Linked DNA regions of Xenopus tropicalis. The protein of the gene in region 1 interacts with the protein of each later gene in a biochemical or structural test. Links are inferred from orthologs where the notes say so. Each region holds a gene or a part of one and is shown on either strand. Other genes may lie near its edges.

Region 1 (3,655 bases):
CAATTTTTTTTTTATCTTTTATCATTTCTGAATTATTTACCTTTTTCTTCTGCCTCTTTCCAGCTTTCAAATGGGGGGGGGGGGGTCACTGACCCTGACAACCAGAAACTATTGCGATTGTGACTTTTTAATCCTTATCTTTCTATTCAGACCCTCTACTATTACTATATCAACCACTCTCTCAAACCACTCCCTGGTTACTAAGGTTCATTGGACCCTAGCAACCATATATCTGCTGCAATTCCAAACTGAAAAAAACAAAAAGTAAAATTTTAAAAAACTACCAATGATAAAAAATGAAGACCAATTGCAAATTATCTCAGAATATTACTGCGTATTTCCGTGTCGCTGTCCCTTTAAACGGTCCCTCCTCGCGGCGAGTTCCTGCGTATAAATAGCTGTGTGTCATGGGCCCTACCTACAGCTGCTATTTTGGCAGCCGGCTCTGTTTGCTCTAGATACAGCGGCCAAGGCGGACGCCAATCACGCCAGGAATGTGACAGGTCGGCACACCTGGGCATTTGCCACTAATGACTGAGCGGCGGGGACGTGTGGGAAACAATCGCTTTATTATTATTGATCGCAAGGGGCCGACGTATCTTGATAGCGCGGTCACATGCTTATCCTAGCCGCGGGGTTGGGGCGCGGTGCAGTTTAAAGGGGAAGTAAACCCAAACCCTGCTTCATCTCAATAAACCAGTTTCATAAAAATATACTTTTTTAGCAGTATGTGCCATTGGGTAATCCTAAATAGAAAACTGCCATTTTAAGAATTAAGGGCCACCCCCTGGGATCATAGGAGTCACAGACAGGGTCGGACTAGGGGGTGAAGGGCCCACCGTGGCCCCGCACCACCCAAGGTGCCTCCTCCGGCCACGTCCCCCACCGCCGCGCACCCCTAACCCCACCCCGCAGGGGCCCCTGTCCGACACTGGAGGCCAGAGAAAGCAGCAATAGGGTCAGGTCTGGGCCACTGGGGCCCCCTGGGTATTTTCCCGGTGTCCCGGCGGCCCAGTCCGACCCTGGTCAGAGTGCACATAAACAAGCCAAGGCACACATACTAGGCCCCATCAGCCAATGAATGGGCAGAGTTCTGCCTTTTGCTCCCACACTACTTCCTGTTACAGTTAGAGCTGCATTATTTCTGGTCATGTGATCTCTGAGGGAACACACAGCCCATCACAAAATGGCGGCTCAAGGGAAAGGATGTAAAAGGGCAATATTTACTGATATATATATTCCAGTTTGGGGAGATTCTTTAATAGGTCAATAAACATAATATAAACTGTCTGTTTGTTACGTATTCATTCTGGGGGGATAGGAGAATATGCAGCATGTTTGGGTGCTTCAGCCCTGACATATTGCATTGTGGGAGAACATGACATTAATAAAGCCTTTTCCCACACATCTATTGCTGGACTACATTTCCCAGCATTCTCTGTACCCATTCTCCCACTTTTCCATTAGATCCTTGGCTGCGGAATTAAACAAAATTACCTTATGCTCTGGTTCCTAGGGTCCTGCTTACCCTACTCTGGTTGCTAGGGTCCCGCTTACCCTAGCAACCCCTTCCTAAATCAGCCCAGCAAGCTCAGACAACCCCCCGCCTCTGTTACATTTGGGAATTTATGCATAATGCAATTGCCATGTAGGATGAACTGGTATTTCCGGCAGCGTGGGCTCGCTCGGGGACAATCTGCCCGGGGCTAAATGGACATTTATTAGCCGCTCGTTCCAGATGCTGCGCTTTCTATTCCTTTCCCATTTCCTCATTCACATTCATTGAGGGTCATTTCTGACTGGCAATAAGCTTTAAATAACATAATAGATTCCCTTCTTTGCCTCTTGCAACCACACGCCAGACACGGTGGAGACAGACACGTGAAAAAGTGCAAGGCCCCCCCCCCCCTCGGCCGCAGCCCCCCGGGCACCACAAACTTCCTTTTATGATTTCATCAAACTCACGAGAGGGGCTTGTTCTGAACTCTGCCATTAATCAGATCTGCACGGCAGCAGCAACGCATAAGGGCCCATCGATCGGAGAGCGCAGCCCACTCCCTGCGCCCACGGCCTGACACCCAGCTACAGCTTTGCCATTTACTGCCCCTATCCATGGGCAATAAACAGTTAAACGGGGAAAGAAAACTCACTTCACTCACTAACTATGAAACTCAGATACTGAGATATGGCACCTCCCTCCCATATGTATAAATACAAATATACAGAGAAGGAATGTTCTGGGCACACAATAAGCTGTACCCCCATACTGTACTGTCTAAGGGAAACACTATGGCACCTCCCTCCCATATGTATAAATACAAATATACAGAGAAGGAATGTTCTGGGCACACAATAAGCTGTACCCCCATACTGTACTGTCTAAGGGAAACACTATGGCACCCCCTACCCATATGTATAAATACAAATATACAGAGAAGGAATGTTCTGGGCACACAATAAGCTGTACCCCCATACTGTACTGTCTAAGGGAAACACTATGGCACCTCCCTCCCATATGTATAAATACAAATATACAGAGAAGGAATGTTCTGGGCACACAATAAGCTGTACCCCCATACTGTACTGTCTAAGGGAAACACTATGGCACCTCCTACCCATATGTATAAATATAAATATACAGAGAAGGAATGTTCTGGGCACACAATAAGCTGTACCCTCATACTGTACTGTCTAAGGGAAACACTATGGCACCTCCCTCCCATATGTATAAATACAAATATACAGAGAAGGAATGTTCTGGGCACACAATAAGCTGTACCCCCATACTGTACTGTCTAAGGGAAACACTATGGCACCTCCTACCCATATGTATAAATACAAATATACAGAGAAGGAATGTTCTGGGCACACAATAAGCTGTACCCCCATACTGTACTGTCACACTCTTTTCCTGCCCATTCCCCCTGCAGAAAGCTCATTAGCAGACCCGGAATCACTACCTGAAGATCTGTCACCGCAGATGGCGCAGATGTGCTTGGTGAAAGAGGCCATAGGTCCTGAGGGATGGGCCGGTACTTTAAGGATGCCGTTGATTCCCGGAGGAGGCTTGATGTCTTCTGTGCTGCTGACCGAGTTCATGGGGGAATGGATCTGAAGAGCAGAGAGAAATGCACATATTTATATATATATATATACACATACATACAGAGATATAAAGCAATAAACCCCCCAGAGCCATAGAGGCAGAATGCGGTGCATTACTCTATGCCATAAGCAGCAGGGACTCCAAGATGGAACAAAGATCATTTTGCAGTCGCTATATATATATATATATATATATATAATGCCACTGTAATGGGAGCTAAGGAAAACTATATGGCAGCTCCCTCCCATACATGTAAATAATATAAAGGATTTTTGCCTGGTTATAAATCTGCAGATTTATTCATTCTGTAGAACATTCTTTCCACATTCCCGTTCATGCTTAAACCCCTGCGCCCCCCCCAGTAGTAGCCAGGATTGGGGCCCCATCAGTAGCCAGGTGGGCCCCATCAGCCCAGGCCCGATCCCCACCAGAGTTCCCTGGGCTGCAGATCTCCCTCCCCAAAGGCCCTATATGTGCCCCAAACAGCACGGTTCTGTCCCCTGGGGGGAACATATAGTGATTTATTGCTCCAATGAGGAGAACCCAAAT
Region 2 (3,655 bases), on another chromosome or scaffold:
CGGGCCGAGCGCTTGCGCTGTCCACTTTCCAACGCCTCTGGGGGCTCCTCCATCTTGGAGTTTCTCCGGCTCAAAGGTTTCGGCCTCTCTGTTGCTTCACTGTGGTTTGTGGGTAAAAAGTGCAAAAGCAATGTATGAGCAGAAGCAAACGAAAGAAAGCGGACCAGCACAGGAAACAATCTGTATATACGTGAACTTGCCAGTTCATGTTTATACTCACTTATATTAAACCAAAGTGATCTGACCTATGGCACAATGAGATCTGTCCACTGTGGCAGTGGTGAGGCCTAAAAGGCCTACATTTTTCCTTGGGGGTGTTGGCACAAATAGAAGGCTGCATAACCCTGTCTATTCATAAAGCAAATTTTCCAATGGGCAGAACTAGTCAAGAAAAATCCCACAGATCACATTGAAATCCCATTATAAGAACTACAATATCCGTGTAAGCGGATGGTAAAATAAAATATGACTTACCTTTCTGGGATATCCTGGGGATCATCCCCTGCAAGAGAAAATAGTCTGTTAACCCTTGATGTTTGTCAATCTAACATTGTGGCACAGAAAATGTGGGAGTGACTTTTGCTATAGGGGGAGTGACCAAAACAAAAATGTCTCTCGTGCTTATCATGAACACAGCAGTAAGAGAGAAAGGTATATGATACAGGAAAGAAGAAAAAAATTTCAGATATTAAAGGAAATCACCAGGTTTTTCTGGAGCGCTCTCCTTGTTGCTTGCAGGTCGTTCTTCTTGTCTCGAACTTTTGGAGGAGGCTTAACATGCAAAACATAATATTATTATTATATTAGGGTGGGGAGGGGTAACATGATTCTGCAGGCTGGCTGGGGTACAAATGAAAACGAATAGTAAACTAGCACACTGTAACCTTTCTCACACTAGGGTGCCAGTGGGATGGGCATCTCTATAAAATGGACAATAAAAATGCTGGAGGCTAGTCTAGTACACAGTCGAGTACATACCTGTTTCTTGTGTGGTTTCTGCCGAAACATTATCCAAGGTGGTATCATTTTTCTCTGGTACAGTGTTCCCTACATGCTTGAACTCCCCATGGATTGATGACTGAGCAGCAGATGGAGCAGGCACCCCTTCTTTAGAACTGGGGTTTTGAGGACATAAAGAGTCAGAAGAGATTGCAGTGGTGACCTCTGGATCAGTAGTAGCCAAGTTGGCTAATGGGGGAGTTTTGTCTCCATCTCCAAGTTCATCTTTGTTTGTTTCCAAACTGTCTTTTAGAATGCCACCAGTCACATTCTTATTGACCGTAGTGAACATAAGCTGCTCAGTCTGGTCCACCTTGGGCTGACCCTTGGATGATGCCGTAGAGTTCCTTACGCTATCGCTGGGAGGAGAAACCATGGGCTTTGAAGGTCCTGGAGGGCATTCTTCAGATGCTACACCCAAATTAGAACTAATATCTTCTTTGTTGCTCTCTTTAAAGGGTGTTGGTGGTGGAACAACAGATGGAGACTGAGCAGGATGTGCAGTGTTCTGAGGAGGGGTAACTAGGACCGGTCGAGTTGTTTGCATACTGGTGACAGCACTAGAAGGTGGAGTTGAAGAAGGTGGTCCAGCAGAAAACTGAATATTCTGTGGAATATGTAAAGACCCCACTACTGCCACAGACTGAGGAGCCAAGTTTGAACTGGATGCTGAAGTGGAAACTGGCATATTCCCTTGTTGTGATCCCTTCATAACTTGTATGATGGAAGGAGAATTAAAGAAAACAGGAGTGATAAACTGAGGGCGCGCAGTCGACTGGGAAGCCTGCTGCCCTTCGGACACGATGACCTTGTTGCCCATATTCTGCACATTAACCACAGTTGGCATTAACGATTGCTGCTGCACGTGGGAAGTCATGGGGCCAGTTGTGGTAGAGGAGGTTGTGATGGGGTTTGAAGTGACAAAAACAGTTATCTGGCTCTGAGACACTGAGCTGGAAACAGATGTCTGGCCAGCTGGCCGTTTCATTGCAGAAGATGGAAGGTTCAGAGAAACATTTGTACTGGGCTCCATGGCGTCTGTTTTCGGTTGAGCTGCATGTGGTCCAATTTGTAAAAGCGGATTAGGTGTGGATACCACTTCATTATTGTTACTGGTATCTTCTGGTACAGGAGGAATGTCAGAAATTTTGGGATCATCTGAAAGCAGCTGTAAAGGAGGTGATTCGGTTATAGGTACTACCGAGGACTTAAGACTGGAAGCAGCTGAGTGATCCAACAGCTGACTCAGAGACGTAGGTGCATCTCTCATAGCTGGCGAGACCATAGGCTTGATCTCTTCTGCAGGGGAAGGTTTACAGGGGTCCATGGGATGGAGTTCTTTTCTGGACATCTCTTCAGAAGTGGTCTTCAGTTCTTGCTGAACCATAGCTTTAAGTTCTGCCTCAGTTTGCTCCTTAAAGGCAACTTGCATTGCCTGGCTGTCTGCCTCCTGCGTGATTGCTGAGCTATCTTTAGTCTCTTCCGTTAAACCGCACGTGGCTGGAATAGAAACTGGTGGATATGGACCAACTGGAGGTCCAGGGACTAGGGACTGCATTGAAGCTTGAGCCTGCATTGCATTTCTTTGCATCTCCAGGTTGTGCAGCATTGCAGGGTTTTGTTGTGGCCCAAGCACAAACTTGTTGGCCTTTAGGTTCTGCCTGCCAGGGCTTGGGGTTGTTTTGCGACTAGAAGCAGGGCTTGATCGCCTACTGTTGCTAGGACTTGCTCGTTTGTTCCCAGCATTGCCAGTCTGTTTCCCTGCCACTATGTTGTGTGATGGGAGAAAACCAGTTGGATTGTTTACAGTCAGTCCAGGAGGAGCTTGTCCAATGGCCTTCAAGGTTGTTGGATTTAACCCTTGCTGATCAAAACCTCTGTTTAGTGTAGGCCTGGGAGGCAATGGAATATTTATCTGAGGGGGAAAAAGGCCTGCAATGGAGGCGTTCAGTCTTTCTGGAGACAGGCTGATCTCAGAAGGCTCTGTACTTGGAGGACGATTATTGGGAGTTTGAGGGTAGTAAGGTCTCGGGCTTGCTCTGTTTGGAGTCTTTGGTCTGGATGTCTGCGATGGAGTTTGCACACTCGGAAAGTGATGCCCATGAGGTCCAGGCATGGAGTTGGCATGTTGCTGCTGCTGGGGATTGGCCCCTTGAGATAAAGTCATAGAGGAAAGATTTCCTGATTTGTTCCCAGGCATCATCAGCTGATTCTGGGAAAGTAGCAAGTGAGAGGGCATGTTGTTCTGCTGCCCAGTAGCTGCTGTCTGATCTGGAATATCAGTCAGAGAAGATGTCGCAGGCGCCTCGCCCAGTGGTGACCCTGACTGATTCCCGCTATCTGGGAATCCCATCTTCCTTCCATTATTTCCCAAAGACACATTAGGCGCCATAGGGATCCTTTGCTTGTCTGGAGACGGTGGAATCGAGCCAGAGCCGTGCACATTCACCATAACAGGCATATTGCCCCCAGGCTGCATAGGCATCCTCTGAGCTTCCGAATTCAGAGATGGGCGGCGGTTAAATTCTCCTTGTGGCCCAGGAAGCCTCACAGACTTTTGGTCCTGTTGTTGCATCATCAGCATCATCATCATTTGCTGAGGAGGAGTTGGTTGTTGCCCCCCCTGGCCTTGTGCCTGCTGCCCCAACTGTTGCAT
Region 3 (3,655 bases), on another chromosome or scaffold:
CACGAGGACCCACTTATGGAAACTACTTACTCAGGACATAGCCAGTTACTCATCATTCCAGTAGTGAACCATTTTAAAGGAGAAGGAAAGTCATTTTGGCATTTTACTGCCAATATATTTGCAACATTAGTGCCACCTAGAACCCTATATTTATTCAGCAGAAAGCTTTACTATACCCTAGAGCCCTAGAAGCTCCCTCTGATAGCAGCTGCCATTTTAGCTTGGTCTTGGTAGCTTCCTGCTGCATTTATAGCTGTTGGAAGCTCAGATCACACCTAAGGGAGAGGGGGAGTGAGTTCTTGTGCATTCATATGGGAGGAGGAGAGGAGTCCTAAAAGAGAGTTAGTCTGATACTGAAGAACATGTTTTCAAAAAAGAAAACAAGAAATCCTGTGTTTCTTTTGATAGAGGGCTCAGTGCAGTGTTTCGAGGCTTGATCGAGGTGCACCGGAAATCCACGGGGGATCGACTGGGGGACCGTGATCGACGTATTGGCCACCCCTGATTTAACCCTTCTGAATGCTAATTAGCATATGCTAATTAGGATTCGGTTCAGCCGGGACCGTTGATTCGCCCGAAACTGTCCTTCAAAAAAAAAAAAGGCTGTATTCGGCCCGAATCCAGGATTCGGCGCATCCCTAGTGTATTATAATTTTTTATTTTTTGTATAACTTAGCATCGTGGATGGAAAATTTTTAATTGGTAAGCTCCTCCCCCATTATGTAATGTAGTCATTGTGGGAGGGAAGGGAGTCGTAGTCTCTGGCATGATTAACAAGGTCGTTATATGAAGGGAAATGGGCTGGGTGGCAGACAATGCCCATCACTTACATGTTCTATTTTGAGGATTGTTGTGAACAATTCCATTTTCCTCTTATTGCTTGGATTGGAATGTACGAAGGAAACGGGGAAAAAGTATCGGGAAGTGGTGTACTAAAAAAAAAGAAAAAAAATTCACCCTTAATGGATGTTTAAGGAAAAGATACATCAATATTTGTCAGATTTTTAAGTAAATGTTTAATGTATCAAGTGTTATTTCAGTGTACAGGTATGGGATCCCTTATCCGGAAACCCGTTATCCAGAAAGGTCTGAATTACGGAAAGCCCGTCTTCCATAGACTCCATTATAAGCAAATAATTCAGATTTTTTAAAAATGATTTCCTTTTTCTCTGTAATAATAAAACAGTACCTGTACTTGATCCCAACTAAGATATAATTACCCCTTATTGGGGGCAGAACAGCCCTATTGGGTTTATTTAATGGTTAAATGATTCCCTTTTCTCTGTAATAATAAAACAGTACCTGTACTTGATCCCAACTAAGATATAATTACCCCTTATTGGGGGCAGAACAGCCCTATTGGGTTTATTTCATGGTTAAATGATTCCCTTTTCTCTGTAATAATAAAACAGTACCTGTACTTGATCCCAACTAAGATATAATTACCCCTTATTGGGGCAGAACAGCCCTATTGGGTTTATTTAATGGTTAAATGATTCCCTTTTCTCTGTAATAATAAAACAGTACCTGTACTTGATCCCAACTAAGATATAATTACCCCTTATTGGGGGCAGAACAGCCCTATTGGGTTTATTTCATGGTTAAATGATTCCCTTTTCTCTGTAATAATAAAACAGTACCTGTACTTGATCCCAACTAAGATATAATTACCCCTTATTGGTGGCAGAACAGCCCTATTGGGTTAATTCAATATTTAAATGATATTTAGCAGACTTAAGTTATGGAGATCCAAATTACAGAAAGATCCTTTATCCAGAAAACTCCAGGTCCCGAGCATTCTGGATAACAGGTCCCATACCTGTAGTAGGAAAAATTGGTTGTCATATAAAATTGTTTTTTCCCCTTTCCCAACGCACATGCTGTGAGTCACTGACCCGTTTTTACCCTCTCCCATTGGCTGATTCCAGCATAAGCCATGAGTTTGCTATTCGCTACTGACACACACAGCATTGATGCAGAGCAGTGTATCCTCTCATGTCTTCATATTGTAACCCCTTTTATTTTTTTTTTTACAGTGGGGGTTATTCGCTGTCCCGTATGCAGTCAGGAGTGCGCAGAAAGAGACATCATCGAGAACTTTTTTGTCCGAGACACCACAGAAGTTCCCAGTAGCACCGTTGAGAAACCAAGTCAGGTGAGTCCTCCTATTGGTTATTAAAAGGGCAGTTACCATACAATTTAGCTGTGCTATCACCTATCACCAATACCGGTTCTTACAATACAAAACACATCATTTAGCTTTAAGAGTTGATCCTTGAACCCCAGTGGTAGATGTGGAGGGTTTATACCAGTATAATTTTTTTTTCTCTATTTTACTAGACATTATTAACAGTCTAACATACCTCCCAACTGTCCCAATTTTCGGGGGACAGTCCCTCTTTTGACAGCTCAACCCGCAGTCCCAGATTCTTACTGAAAAGTCCCTCATTTCTCTTTGATCTCCTGCACTGAAGCTAAAAAAGATACAATGTTTCTCAAACTTAATTAAATAGGTAGCTTTTGGCAGACAGCCCAGAAATCTTAACGAAGCGCCACCTGCAATTAGATACTTTGTTTCTCACATTTAATTAAATAAATGGCTTTTGGCAGAGAGCCCAGAAAGGTAAAAAGTCCCCCCCTGCACTGAGATACAATTGTAACTAATAAGCTAAACAAGTCTCTTGGGGGAGCTGAGACTCGCAGCTTAAAGAATAAGTAAACCTTTTTTTTTTTTTCTACCAGTAAAATTACTCTAAACAGCCTCCAGAATGACCTACCTTTGTCCCAGCATTCTGTCTGACCTGGCTCCTGAGTTAGAAGTTGTTGTTTCCTTTGCATCCTTGTGCAGAGTGAAGCCCCGCCCCCACTTCCTGTTCAGTTCCCTCATCAAAAAAAAGAAAAAAACTGCTCCTGCTGCCTCCAGGCATGTTCAGAAGGCTCTCCACTTTGACTACAGTAGTCGAAGTGTTGAGGGAACTGCACAAGGAAGCAAAGGAAACAATCAACTTCTAACTCTTGTGTGCAGGTTGGGTGCAGGTCACCATTTATTATTATTAACATTTATTTATAAAGCGCCAACATATCCCGCAGCGCTGTACAATAAGTGGGTTTCACACATTGGACATACAGAGTAACATATAAAGCAATCAATAACCGATACAAGAGGTGAAGAGAGCCCCTGATCAGGCCCAGTCCTCTGCACTAACACTTATATTCAACCATAAAGTGTCTCAACCCTTTCTCCTTGTAGATTGTAAGCTCTTTTGGGCAGGGCTCTCTTCACCTCTTGTATCGGTTATTGATTGCTTTATATGTTACTCTGTATGTCCAATGTATGAAACCCACTTATTGTACAGCGCTGCGGGGTATGTTGGCGCTTTATAAATAAATATTGATGATAATAATAAAGGGGAGTATACTGACCCTTTTACTGGGGAAGATACTGACCTGTATAAAAGTTAAGCAACATTTTAAAGATATTCCATTTTCCTTCTGTGTTTAACACTGAATACATTCTGTGGATTTCTAAACACATTGTTAACTGTTAAATCAGTCCACGCGTGACATAGATATTATTATTATTTATTCAAACCTTTTTTTTTTTCCTCCCCTGTGCCCTTCAGCAAGTGTGTACAAGCTGTGAGGACAATGCGGA

What was found.
Region 2: the proteins of rxra (region 1) and ncoa6 form a complex in vitro, tested with the Homo sapiens proteins (5 studies listed by BioGRID). The link is inferred for Xenopus tropicalis from reciprocal best matches to the Homo sapiens genes RXRA and NCOA6.
Region 3: the proteins of rxra (region 1) and trim24 form a complex in vitro, tested with the Homo sapiens proteins (3 studies listed by BioGRID). The link is inferred for Xenopus tropicalis from reciprocal best matches to the Homo sapiens genes RXRA and TRIM24.

Annotation. Positions count from the first base shown.
Region 1 is NC_030684.2:7,937,315-7,940,969, forward strand, and holds part of rxra (retinoic acid receptor RXR-alpha), read right to left. Parts: intron 3,112-3,655; coding exon 2,961-3,111; intron 1-2,960. UniProt on the Homo sapiens protein: Receptor for retinoic acid that acts as a transcription factor.
Region 2 is NC_030686.2:41,076,976-41,080,630, reverse strand, and holds part of ncoa6 (nuclear receptor coactivator 6), read right to left. Parts: coding exon 979-3,655; intron 772-978; coding exon 703-771; intron 503-702; coding exon 475-502; intron 100-474; coding exon 1-99. UniProt on the Homo sapiens protein: Nuclear receptor coactivator that directly binds nuclear receptors and stimulates the transcriptional activities in a hormone-dependent fashion. Coactivates expression in an agonist- and AF2-dependent manner.
Region 3 is NC_030679.2:7,785,146-7,788,800, forward strand, and holds part of trim24 (transcription intermediary factor 1-alpha), read left to right. Parts: intron 1-2,036; coding exon 2,037-2,155; intron 2,156-3,623; coding exon 3,624-3,655. UniProt on the Homo sapiens protein: Transcriptional coactivator that interacts with numerous nuclear receptors and coactivators and modulates the transcription of target genes.